Callithrix jacchus: one gene and its partners. The protein of the gene in region 1 interacts with the protein of each later gene in a biochemical or structural test. Links are inferred from orthologs where the notes say so. Each region holds a gene or a part of one and is shown in the gene's direction. Other genes may lie near its edges. The genes, in order: FYN, FASLG and KHDRBS1.

Evidence for each region.
Region 2: the proteins of FYN (region 1) and FASLG form a complex in vitro, tested with the Homo sapiens proteins (4 studies listed by BioGRID and IntAct, with this or other methods). The link is inferred for Callithrix jacchus from reciprocal best matches to the Homo sapiens genes FYN and FASLG.
Region 3: the proteins of FYN (region 1) and KHDRBS1 form a complex in vitro, tested with the Homo sapiens proteins (4 studies listed by BioGRID and IntAct, with this or other methods). The link is inferred for Callithrix jacchus from reciprocal best matches to the Homo sapiens genes FYN and KHDRBS1.

Annotation. Positions count from the first base shown.
Region 1 is NC_133505.1:117,948,389-117,952,039, reverse strand, and holds part of FYN (tyrosine-protein kinase Fyn), read left to right. Parts: intron 1-1,763; coding exon 1,764-1,943; intron 1,944-3,509; coding exon 3,510-3,586; intron 3,587-3,651. UniProt on the Homo sapiens protein: Non-receptor tyrosine-protein kinase that plays a role in many biological processes including regulation of cell growth and survival, cell adhesion, integrin-mediated signaling, cytoskeletal remodeling, cell motility, immune response and axon guidance.
Region 2 is NC_133519.1:30,108,660-30,112,786, reverse strand, and holds the start of FASLG (tumor necrosis factor ligand superfamily member 6), read left to right. Parts: upstream 1-1,307; 5' UTR 1,308-1,408; coding exon 1,409-1,753; intron 1,754-2,303; coding exon 2,304-2,349; intron 2,350-4,127. UniProt on the Homo sapiens protein: Cytokine that binds to TNFRSF6/FAS, a receptor that transduces the apoptotic signal into cells. Involved in cytotoxic T-cell-mediated apoptosis, natural killer cell-mediated apoptosis and in T-cell development.
Region 3 is NC_133508.1:68,648,862-68,652,512, forward strand, and holds part of KHDRBS1 (KH domain-containing, RNA-binding, signal transduction-associated protein 1), read left to right. Parts: coding exon 1-68; intron 69-1,822; coding exon 1,823-2,024; intron 2,025-2,531; coding exon 2,532-2,599; intron 2,600-3,517; coding exon 3,518-3,576; intron 3,577-3,651. UniProt on the Homo sapiens protein: Recruited and tyrosine phosphorylated by several receptor systems, for example the T-cell, leptin and insulin receptors. Once phosphorylated, functions as an adapter protein in signal transduction cascades by binding to SH2 and SH3 domain-containing proteins.

The DNA of each region.
Region 1 (3,651 bases):
TTTTTTTTTTTTTTTTCTTTTGAGACAGAGTCTCGCTCTGTACCACTGCTCTGGAGTGCAGTGGTACAATAATCTTGGCTCACTGCAACCTCTGCCTCCTGGGTTCTAGCAGTTTTCTACCTCAGCCTCCTGAATAGCTGGGATTACAGGCACTCGCCACCACACCCAGCTAATTTTTGTATTTTTAGTAGAGACGAGGTTTCACCATCTTGGCCAGGCTGGTCTTGAACTCCTGACCTCGTGATCCACTCGCCTCAGCCTCCCAGGTGCTGACTCTTAAAGAGCAAAGATCACTTATAAATTGTCAAATTTCCCATGTATGCTTAGTGGGCAGATATTTTATGAAGTTTAAATGAACTTTTCTTTAAGCCACTTGGTTTTCCATAATTTATATTTTTGTAGGTTACATGTTGTAATTATATGAACCATGTCTTTAACAGGATAATAAGAACTCCTCCAATTTACAGAATTCTTTTTTTTTTTTTTTTTTTAGACAGAGTTTCACTCTTGTTACCCAGGCTGGAGTGCAGTGGCGCAATCTCAGCTCACTGCAACCTCCGCCTCCTGGGTTCAGGCAATTCTCCTGCTTCAGCCTCCCGAGTAGCTGGGGTTACAGGCATGCGCCACCACACCCAGCTAATTTTTTTGTATTTTTAGTAGAGACGGGGTTTCACCATGTTGACCAGGATGGTCTCAATCTCTTGACCTCGTGATCCCCCCACTTCAGCCTCCCAAAAGTCAGTTACATTAAGTATAAAAATCTTAATTTAAACCAGTCTTCTTTTTCAAATAGAAAATAATCTAAATTAGCAGATTTTTCCCCTTTATAAAGTTATTCTTCAGCTTCATAGGTCTAATAATGGGATATACATAGAACCTAGGTTTGGTTTTTATTTTTGTTTTTTTTAATGCTGGGACTGAAAGAGACCCTGAAAAGATAATCCAATTCTATTTTCTATTCCTATATTTTACAGATGAGGTAACTGATGACAATCATAAACCAGGCCTTGCCTTCAGATTTGCTAGATTGTTTTTTTAACATGCAAAGCATAAATATTTCTATTCTGTCTTAGCTGCTTTTAATTTCCCCTGTCTACCTACCTGACAGAAACCATTGTTCTTGTGGCTGGCCATAGTAAAGCTGAGGAATTTGCCTTACCTGGTTGAAGTATTGGCAAGTGGACTGTGAGCTCCTTGCCAGTGCTTGTCAGCATGCTTGGCACACCTGTGCAAGGACTCAGTCACGTAACTCGTCCATTGTAAATGTTAAAAGTCTAGAGGTGATTTTCAGACATCCTCATGTGTTGCCCTATTTTTAAATGGCACACCCCATAAACTTAAATAATCTAATTTCTTCCTTGCTCACTGTACTCCCTAAGGGAGTATCCCTAAGCTATTAGATAGCCAGGCCTGTTCCAATCCCTGGACTTTCATCACTGTGAACACCAGTCCAGAGCTTTTGGTATAAATGTGTAATCATATGACCGAGCCAAAAAGAAACTGGTATATATCAAAATTTTTAAAAAATTAATGAATTATACATCTTAATATAGCCATCTTAGCCATAGCCACAAATAAACACATTTTTTTCTGTTAAAATACTTGACAGAGTCCTTGCAATTGAACGTCTTTGTTCAACAAAAACTATAGTAAGTGTTTTAAACTTAAAATCTAACTTTATGCAAATAGCTGTTGGTCAAAAACTTTTCTTTCCATCAAAAGAGGATCTTTGGTTTGACTTCATTATTATGGGATGTTTGTAGGTACCTGGAATGGAAACACAAAAGTAGCCATAAAGACTCTTAAACCAGGCACAATGTCCCCTGAATCATTCCTCGAGGAAGCACAGATCATGAAGAAGCTGAAGCATGACAAGCTGGTCCAGCTCTATGCAGTGGTGTCCGAGGAACCAATCTATATCGTCACCGAGTATATGAATAAAGGTTGGGCAACACCTCTCCCGTCTCTAGCTCACAGTGCCTTAACGGGTTGTTTGCGGGGAGAAATAGAGGCTTCCTGCTTGCTTTTTTTCCAGTTTCTGCCTGGGTCAAGTATTCCCATCAGGAAGCACCAGTTATGTGTTCATGAATGAAAACATTTTTAAAACAGGCTAACCTTGAGTTTGCCTCACCCCAAATCCTTGAAAAATGCTGAGTACCTTTTGCATGTTATGTGTATCAAAAATTCAAGCTCCTCTCCCTAATTAAAACATTCATTTTTAATATTGGGGTGGTACAGAGGGTTATAATAGTTTGCTGTTATTTTGAACACAGTAGCTTTTGTTACATTTCCTTTTTGCAAGACTAAACAGTTAATATCAGACACTGGTCTCTAAGCTAAGTTTAGTCTCCATCATTTCAACATCTTATTTTTTTCCAACTCTCTCCTTAAACATCAGATGATGAAATTACACACTTTCAGAGACCACATTTATTCTCACATTCTCTCCCCCACAACCCCTCTGTCTTTCTAATCAAACCAACATTGTTGGGGATAAGGCCAAAGATCATTTTGTTTTGGAAAAGTAGATGAAACAAACAAGAAACAGCCTTAAAAGGCAATACATTGTACATCAGAGGATACCAGTGTAATTTTTCTTTTCCATGTACTTTCTTTTAAAATATAATTGGAATTTTTTTTCTGGCAAACTATTTGTCCTTTGTATCCAGGGTTATTTTGTAAATAACTTTGTGATTAAAGCATAAAGTATCACTGATGACCATCATAAGCCTCTGGCTTCTGCAAATGATTATCCCTGCCTTGGTGTTAGTTCTCAGCCTCCTTAGGCTGTATTATAATAGTGGCTCTGAAGCTTCCAATGTTTTCTTTCAGATGTCTGATTTAAGGCTTGGCTGGCTATGATCTAATTAAGGGGAACTATCTGCCCCACCCATATTCTTCAGATTGTCTCTTCTTGATTCAAAATCTGTAAATAAGCTAAGCCAGTGAATCTCAAACTTTACCTTGTGTTATTAGAGTCATCTGTAGGGCTTCTTAAAACACAAGGTTCTGGACCCAACCTTCATAGTTTCTGATTTACTCAATCTGGGATAGGACCTGAGAATTTGCATGTCTTAAAGTTCCCTGGTGCTGTTACAGCTGCTGGTCCCAAGACCTCAATTTTGGACCACTCAGCTGGCCTATATTTTCCCCACATCAATTCTCTGTGCAGGGCTGGTTGAGGAATGGAATTGAAGAGGTGCAGTTCTTAACAGGTTCCTCTTTATGACCTAAAGGGATATTGATTCCCATTTCTTCTAGTTTTATCAAATATATGTTGTTATCCCTAGAAATGAAATGAATGCTGTTTGTTTTTAAAAGGTAAAACTGTGGCTTCTCCATGCATATACTTTTCTCTACTCTGCTCTTTTATATAAACCTTATTTTTCCATGGATGGCATTATTCCATTTGATGACCTTATTACTTTTAATTAAGAAAACCAAATACAGTCCTCTGTTGAGAATTATCTTTCAAAGTAGATTGAAATGATTTTATGTTTTGTTCATAGGAAGTCTACTCGATTTCTTAAAAGATGGAGAAGGAAGAGCTCTGAAATTACCAAATCTTGTGGACATGGCAGCACAGGTAGGCCCTGCGGGGTACCTTGATGTGCTGTAGATTTAATGACATGTAAATACATTGGGTCACGG
Region 2 (4,127 bases), on another chromosome or scaffold:
AGTGGCTGCACAAGAAATGTCAGCAGAGACCAGGCAGGCCTTTCAGATGGTGAGGTGATGTGTAAGACACAGGGGCGTGGTGGAGGCTGGGTGACCCAGAACACCTGTCCTTCATTCTCAGGGGTAGCTGCTACCCATGGCCTTGAGGGTGTCCGACATTCTGATGTTTCAAAAGAGAATAGAAATATTTTTTTAATGTGTATTTAAAAATATATAATATTTTTAGTATCAATATTTAAAGTGGTCAGTTGGGCTGGCTGAGTGCAGTTGCTCATGTCTGTAATCCCAGCACTTTGGGAGACTGAAGCGGGAGGATCTCTAGAAGTCAGGAGGCTGAGACCAGCCTGGGCACCATAGCAAGTCCCCATCTCTACAAAAAAATAGAATAAATTAGTCAGGTGTAGTGACCTATGCCTATAATCCCAGATACTTGGGAGTCGAGGCAAGAGGACTGCTTGAGCCCAGGATTTTGAGGCTGCAGTGAACTATGGTAGCACCACTGCACTCCAGGCTGGGTGGCAGAGTGAGACTCTGTCTCTCTTTAAATAAATAAATAAATAAAGTGGGCAACCAATGAAAAGAAAAACATGTGAAATACAAAGCAGCTCTGTGGGTTCCACTGGTTTGCAGCCTCTGAGCTAATTTCTAAAGTGGGTGTAGCAGGTTTTTACTCTGTAAATTATGGTGATTTGCTGGTCAGGGTAGATGATACTTGTGTGTGGGGAAGGGATGATGGCAACAGATGTTTTCCTTTTGCAAAAAGTAAAATGTGGGAGTGACTTCTTTGGCCATGACTTCATGGTCTTTCACCTCAGAGCCATTTGCAGTAAAATTTATGGATTTAAAAATATGATTCTGAACAATTTTTGTTAGAGTTATTTTGGGATTTTAAAATAGTTTTTTGGTTGTATGTATTGTAGAATTCTTAAAATTATATAATGATAATTTATAAAAATGCATACGATTATAATTCATAAAATTATATCTCCACTGGCCATTCTCCTGTAGCTGGGAGAAGTTGACACCAACAGGGCTACATCCCAGTGCTGACCTGCTCTGCAGGACCCAAGGAAGGGGAGCACAGCCTACCAGCCTTTTTGGGTAGCCCAGCGACAGCACCTAGGGCTTCAAAGGCCTTCATAAGAAAATTGTGGGCGGAAACTTCCAAGGGGTTTGCTCTGAGCTTCTTGAGACTTCTCAGTTTCAGATGCAAAGTGAGTGGGCGTTTCTCTGAGAAGCAGAATGAGAGAGAGGTGTTTCCCTTAGCTATGGAAACTCTATAAGAGAGATCTAGCTTCCTTTCTCTTGAGCAGTCAGCAACAGGAGTCCTGTCCTTGACGCCTCAGCCTCTACAGGATTAGGAAGAAATAAGACCATTTGCTGGGGCTGGCTGGAGTCACCGGCTGCCATGCAGCAGCCCTTCAATTACCCATATCCCCAGATCTACTGGGTGGACAGCAGTGCCAGCTCTCCCTGGGCCCCTCCAGGCACAGTGCTTCCCTGTCCAACCTCTGTGCCCAGAAGGCCTGGCCAAAGGAGACCACCGCCGCCGCCACCACCGCCGCCACTACCACCTCCACCACCGCCACCATTGCCTCCATTACCACTGCCACCCCTGAAGAAGGGAGGGACCCACAGCACAGGCCTGTGTCTCCTTGTGATGTTTTTCATGGTTCTGGTTGCCTTGGTAGGATTGGGACTGGGGATGTTTCAGCTCTTCCACCTTCAGAAGGAGCTGGCAGAACTCCGAGAGGTAAGCCTGCTGGTGGACTGCCGTGCCCTGGAGGCACCTGGCATAAGGGGGTGCAGGGCCCACTGCCTGGCTTGCCAAGTGCTTTTCAGTTCTTTTTTTTTTCCTTAGAAATGGGTTGTTCTAGTTATTCTATTCTATAGGCAGAGAAATGGAGGTTCACATGAGTGAGGGGAATATTTTTTGTTTCGTAAAGCATCAGAGCCCAACAGTTTTCTTTTCCTCATGTGTCAACTCAGTCTGTTGAACCACTTCCTGCCTCATACCTAGTGATTCAAGGAGTAACAAACAAACCAAACTTTTAAGTTTTGCTTGGAAGTAAATTTGTTCAGATGACCAAACTGAATCTTGAAAGTACTTAAAATATTGATATGATTCCAAATCACAAAACTGGGGGACAGTGAGGCAAAATTGCTTGGACAAAGCCTGAGTTAACAAAAGTTCTGAGGTATTTGGATTCTTTTTCCAGGGCTTGGTTTATTTGACAATTCTGCCTCTTTTGCTTAAAGAGTTTTATTTTTTTTATACATCTTTTCTCTTTCTCTTTTACTAGTCTGCCAGCCAGAGGCATGCAGTATCGTCTGTGGAGAAGCAAATAGGTGAGTCCTTTTTTTGTGGGTACAATGAGTTCCCAAAGATGATCCTCAGCACTGAACTATGTTAATGGAATGCCTTATATTCTGTCCTACACTTTGGCTTATGTATGCTATGAGAGGAGTTCTGGCTGATTCTGAATTTCTGGTCAATATGATTCCTCGAGCTGCTTTAAAAATGTGAAGTCAATTGAATTGCTCACAATCAGTATAGCTGAGCACAGCACACAATTCAAAATCACTTTCACTTGACTTTGGAGACACACATACACAACTTGGACCTTTGCCCCCTGAGGAAGGTCTGTCGCATTCCACAGGCATCTTGGTTGTGGCACACATGCCAGTGGCTTTGACTCCTGGGAAGAGAAGGCGAGGTGAAGGCAGAGATAGATGTTTCTCAGAAACGTCCTCTCCTCTTTTAAACTCTCTAAAGAGATTACAGTGAAGCTTAATTTATAAACTATTTTATAGGATGTATGCTTTTAATGAGGATAATCAATTGCCCACAATAGGATGGTTTTTCTTGAAGTCACTGAGTAGCTTAGGGGAAGACTTCAGCCATCATTCAAAGGACATTCAGCTTCACCCACAGAGACGGTCATGAGGTACCCTTGATCACAAAGGAAAACCCTTTGTATGGGAGCTAGGACAAGAAGATGACATGTTGAACACTGATCTCATGAAATGTCAGGGCATAGTTTTGCAAGCTCTGTACAGATAGATTTTACGGCACACTTCACTAGTCTAAGGTTCACTGAAATTTCAGATTTAGATTTACAATGCGATTCATTGAATTTTTAGAGTTGGAAGGAAGCTTAGAATATATCTAGTCCAGTCATTCTGTCTTTTGGAAGAGAAACAAAATACCAGACAGATTAGGTGAACACGCCCAAGAACACTGGTCTGGAACTGGGGCTGGAAGGAACACGGGCTCTTGATGCCTTGTCACCTACAGGGCTTTCCAGCACATGGACTGGTGCCTCATCAAGTAGGGAAACTCCTGACTGTAGTGACCATGGAATGAGAAATAGATGAAAAGCAGAATACCTCTGCAAAGAGAATAGGTAAATCTCATCCTTAGAAACTCAGAAGCAAGCAGAAGGCAGCACTGGCCAAGAAGTGGAGCAAGTTCCCATTTCTCTGGATGTGGCTACTGCAGGCAACCCAGTCGCCTGTCTGCTATCCCAGATTGTTAGGTTCTTGTAGGAGCCACTGTTGGATGCTCTGGCTCCTGTGTCTGTGTCCTAATCCTTATATGTTAGAACTTCCACATGTACACAAGCAGAGTGGAAATATTTGTTAAAAAAATAAAGCCTCTGGAGGATGTCTTAAATAAGATCATTTTGAAAATCTGTGGAATGTGCCTGGTCTGATAGGTACCTAATTATTCATATTTCACCCACTCTTGAGTCAGTTTAGTGATTAAAAGTCAAATGATCAGATGAGTCAGGTCTATCTGCCTGGTAAGCAATTATCTTCTCTAGATGGACCAGAAATTGGTAAATTATCACATGGCTAATAAGAAAAGAGATTCAAATTAATATAATGCAAATTAAAAATAGGAAATATCAAGTTTTCATCAAATTGGTAAAAATTAAAAAAAAGCACAAATTGACAAAGATTTGAGAGAAAAGAGCCTGTTCAAACATTTGTTTCAGCCAGTGTACATGTAAATTGCTATAGCTTTCTCTGAAGAGCACTTTGGATATACAATCAAAAGCTTGGAACTAATAGTTTACGTTGTAATCCCATAGCTAAGAATTTATCTTAAGAAAATAATCAGA
Region 3 (3,651 bases), on another chromosome or scaffold:
CCCTCTCGTGGACGTGGGGTGCCAGTGAGAGGCCGGGGAGCTGCACCTCCTCCACCACCTGTTCCCAGGTAAAAATAATGGAGACACCCAGAAATAGGGTATAAATTTGATTACTAGTATCATCTCTTTTGGTGGTGCTCTTATGTCTAGCATAGAAAGGGTCTCAGGATTTATATGTTGCATCAAGAATAGAATTCTCCAGCCAGGTGTGGTGGCTCATGCCTATAATCCCAGCACTTTGGGAGGCTGAGGTGGGTGGATCACCTGAGATCAGGAGTTCAAGACCAGCCTGGCCAATGTGGCAAAACCCTATCTTTACTAAAAATACAAAACTTAGCCCCATGTGTTGGCACACACCTATAATCCCAGCTTCTTGGGAGGCTGAAGCAGGAGAATTGCTTGGACCCAGGAGACGGAGGTTGCAGTGAGCTGAGATCATGCGGCTGCACTCCATCCTGGGTGACAAAGCAAGATTCCATTTCCATTTCCACAAAAAAAAAAAAAAAAAAAAAAAAAAAGAATTCTTGGCCAGGTTCGGTGGTTTCATACCTGTAATTCCAGCACTTTGGGAAGCTGAGGCAGGCAGATCACAAGATCAAGACATCGAGACCATCCTGGCCAACGTGGTGAAACCCTGTCTCCACTAAAAAAAAATATAAAAATTAGCTGGGCATGGTGGCTTGTGCCTCTAGTCCCAGCTACTCGGGAGGCTGAGGCAAGAGAATCACTTGAACCCGGGAGGCAGAGGTTGCAGTGAGCTGAGATCGCGCCACTGCACCCCAGCCTGGCGGCAGAGTAAGACTAAGTCTAAAAACATATATATATATATATATATATATATAAATTCTTGGTCTTGGGCACTTTGACCATAACCAAGTGCTATAGTCTAACTGAGACTTTTGGTTTTCTTTTTTTTTTTTGAGATGGAGTTTCGCTCTTGTTACCCAGGCTGGAGTACAATGGCGCGATCTCGGCTCGCCGCAACCTCCGCCTCCTGGGTTCAGGCAATTCTCCTGCCTCAGCCTCCCGAGTAGCTGGGATTACAGGCACACGCCACCATACCCAGCTAGTTTTTTGTATTTTTAGTAGAGATGGGGTTTCACCATGTTGACCAGGATGGTCTCGATCTCTTGACCTTGTGATCCACCCGCCTCAGCCTCCCAAAGTGCTGGGATTACAGGCTTGAGCCACCACACCCAACCGACTTTTGGTTTTCTAATTTTGGACAGGTCTAGCATTTTTTTGAGATGGAATTTTGCTCTTGGTGCCCAGGCTGGAGTGCAATGGTGTGATCTTGATTCACTGCAAACTCTGCCTCCCAGGTTTAAGCAATTCTCCTGCCTCAGCCTTCCAAGTAGCTGGGATCACAGGCATGTACCACCATGCCCGGCTAATTTTATATTTTTAGTAGAGATGGGATTTCTCCTTGTTGATCAGTCTGGTCTTGAACTCCTGACCTCAGTTGATCCACCCACCTTGGCTTCCCAAAGTTCTGGGATTACAGGTGTTAGCCACTGCGCCCAGCCAGTCCTAGTATTTTTTAGTGGTCTAACTTTAAAGTTCTACCTTTTGTGACTGACCTTTATGGAGTGTTCAGACTCTCCCGACCTACCTAAGGCAGTGCAGTGATGAATTGGTCCACTGTAGGACCCGGGGAGTCTTTGAGTATGGGTTCTTTGTCCTGTGCATTCCTCTGTGCTTTAATAATAGCCTAGTTAAGGCTTCATAAAATCTGCCTAACTCCAGAATTTGAAAACAAATCAGAACATAAAAGTGGTCTGTTTATGAAAAGCTCCATTTAAAGTAAACTTTCATTTTGTAGGGGCCGTGGTGTTGGACCACCTCGTGGGGCTTTGGTACGTGGTACACCAGTAAGGGGAGCCATTACCAGAGGTGCCACTGTGACTCGAGGCGTGCCACCCCCACCTACTGTGAGGGGTGCTCCAGCACCAAGAGCACGGACAGCGGGCATCCAGAGGATACCTTTGCCTCCACCTCCTGCACCAGAAACATATGAAGAATATGTAAGAAATTTGAACAGTGTGCCATTTTCCAATACCTAGAAGGTTGCCAAATGAAATCAAATGACAGGGCCTCAGTCCTTTATGTAGGTGTCATGGACTACTTGTAAGATTTGGAAGCTGACCTCTTCTCTTGCAGTGAATGTTGAACTATTAGAAGGCTTTTCCATTTTAGGCTTGATTTTCTGTAAGTCTGTAGATTAAACAGGAAATAAAATATACCTTAATGTAGTGTTTTATAACGAATTTCTTAACTACTAATACTGATAATACTAAAGCTTGATTTTTGTAATTTTTCCTACCCACACGTGTTCTGTGGCATATATTTGTTTGGGTTTTCTTTGTTTAGTAACCCTTTCTCTTTTAACTATTCTACAGTAGGCATTAACATTTTGGAGGGAAATGTCATGTCCTTTTTTAATCCAGAAGCCTACCTACTTTCATGAGATATAATTACTTTTCCTACTCTCTATGATTTTGATCTTTTATGTATTTATTTTTCTGTTTTAGGGATACGATGATACGTATGCAGAACAAAGTTACGAAGGCTATGAAGGCTATTACAGCCAGAGTCAAGGGTGAGTCAGGCAATATAAGCACTGGTTTTGTGTCCTAAGGTTGGAGAGAGGGAGTTGGAGGAACAGAGATTTAGACAGCACAACCCTAAGGAGCAGAATGGTTCACATTTTGAGGGTATCGCCTTTGTACTCCCCACCCAAACCCGACTGGTCTTGATCTTGAGCTCAAGCAATCCTGCCACTTTGGCCCTCTCTAATAGTTGGTATTACAGGCACATGCCACCATGCAAGGCTTTCCTCTGCTTTTGTCATCTTTGAAGCACACAGATGTGCTTCAAAATAAATTTGTATAACTCTAAACCTTAAATTATAATACAGAACCTGAGAGTAGCAGATGAAAAATTTCCGACCTGTGACATGGAAACAAGGAGAAATGCCTTTACATTATTTTGATTTATCATTTTAAAATATCAAAACCACATTGAAGTTACATAAAATTTGAATTCCATTACCATAACCTAGGTTCTTTTCTGTATTTCTCTTCCCTGCCCTTCTCCACTTCCGTATTTCTCTTTAAGACCATATTCTTGTGTGTCCATATATATAGCTTACCTGTGAATTGATTGAAAAGAGTCTCAATTCTGTGGTAGTAATAAAACAAGTTATTTTTTTCTTCTGGTGAGCCCTATGAATACATATATATGTATGCTATATTAAGAGGGTTAATTTAGAATTGTGCTTTTTCACTTTATATTCTGTGATATCCATTTTTCTTTGCTATAGATGTCATAATTATTTTATAAGTACGTATATACGTATTTTGGAAATATTTTGGCATCTAGGGATGGGTTAGAATGAGTATTTTCCTGTATAAATATACATAGTAAAATAACTGAAATATGAAAGTATTTGAGAAAAAGGTGAAACTAAAACATAGTTCCTCTGTAGCTTCCTAACATTCTTGTCTTTGGCTTTCAGGGACTCAGAATATTATGACTATGGACATGGGGAGGTTCAAGATTCTTATGAAGCTTATGGTATGTCTTTATTTCTGTGGTGGGGCAGAATGTACAAGTAAGTGCCTTGGAGAATGCTGGTGCCTGAAGTATTGA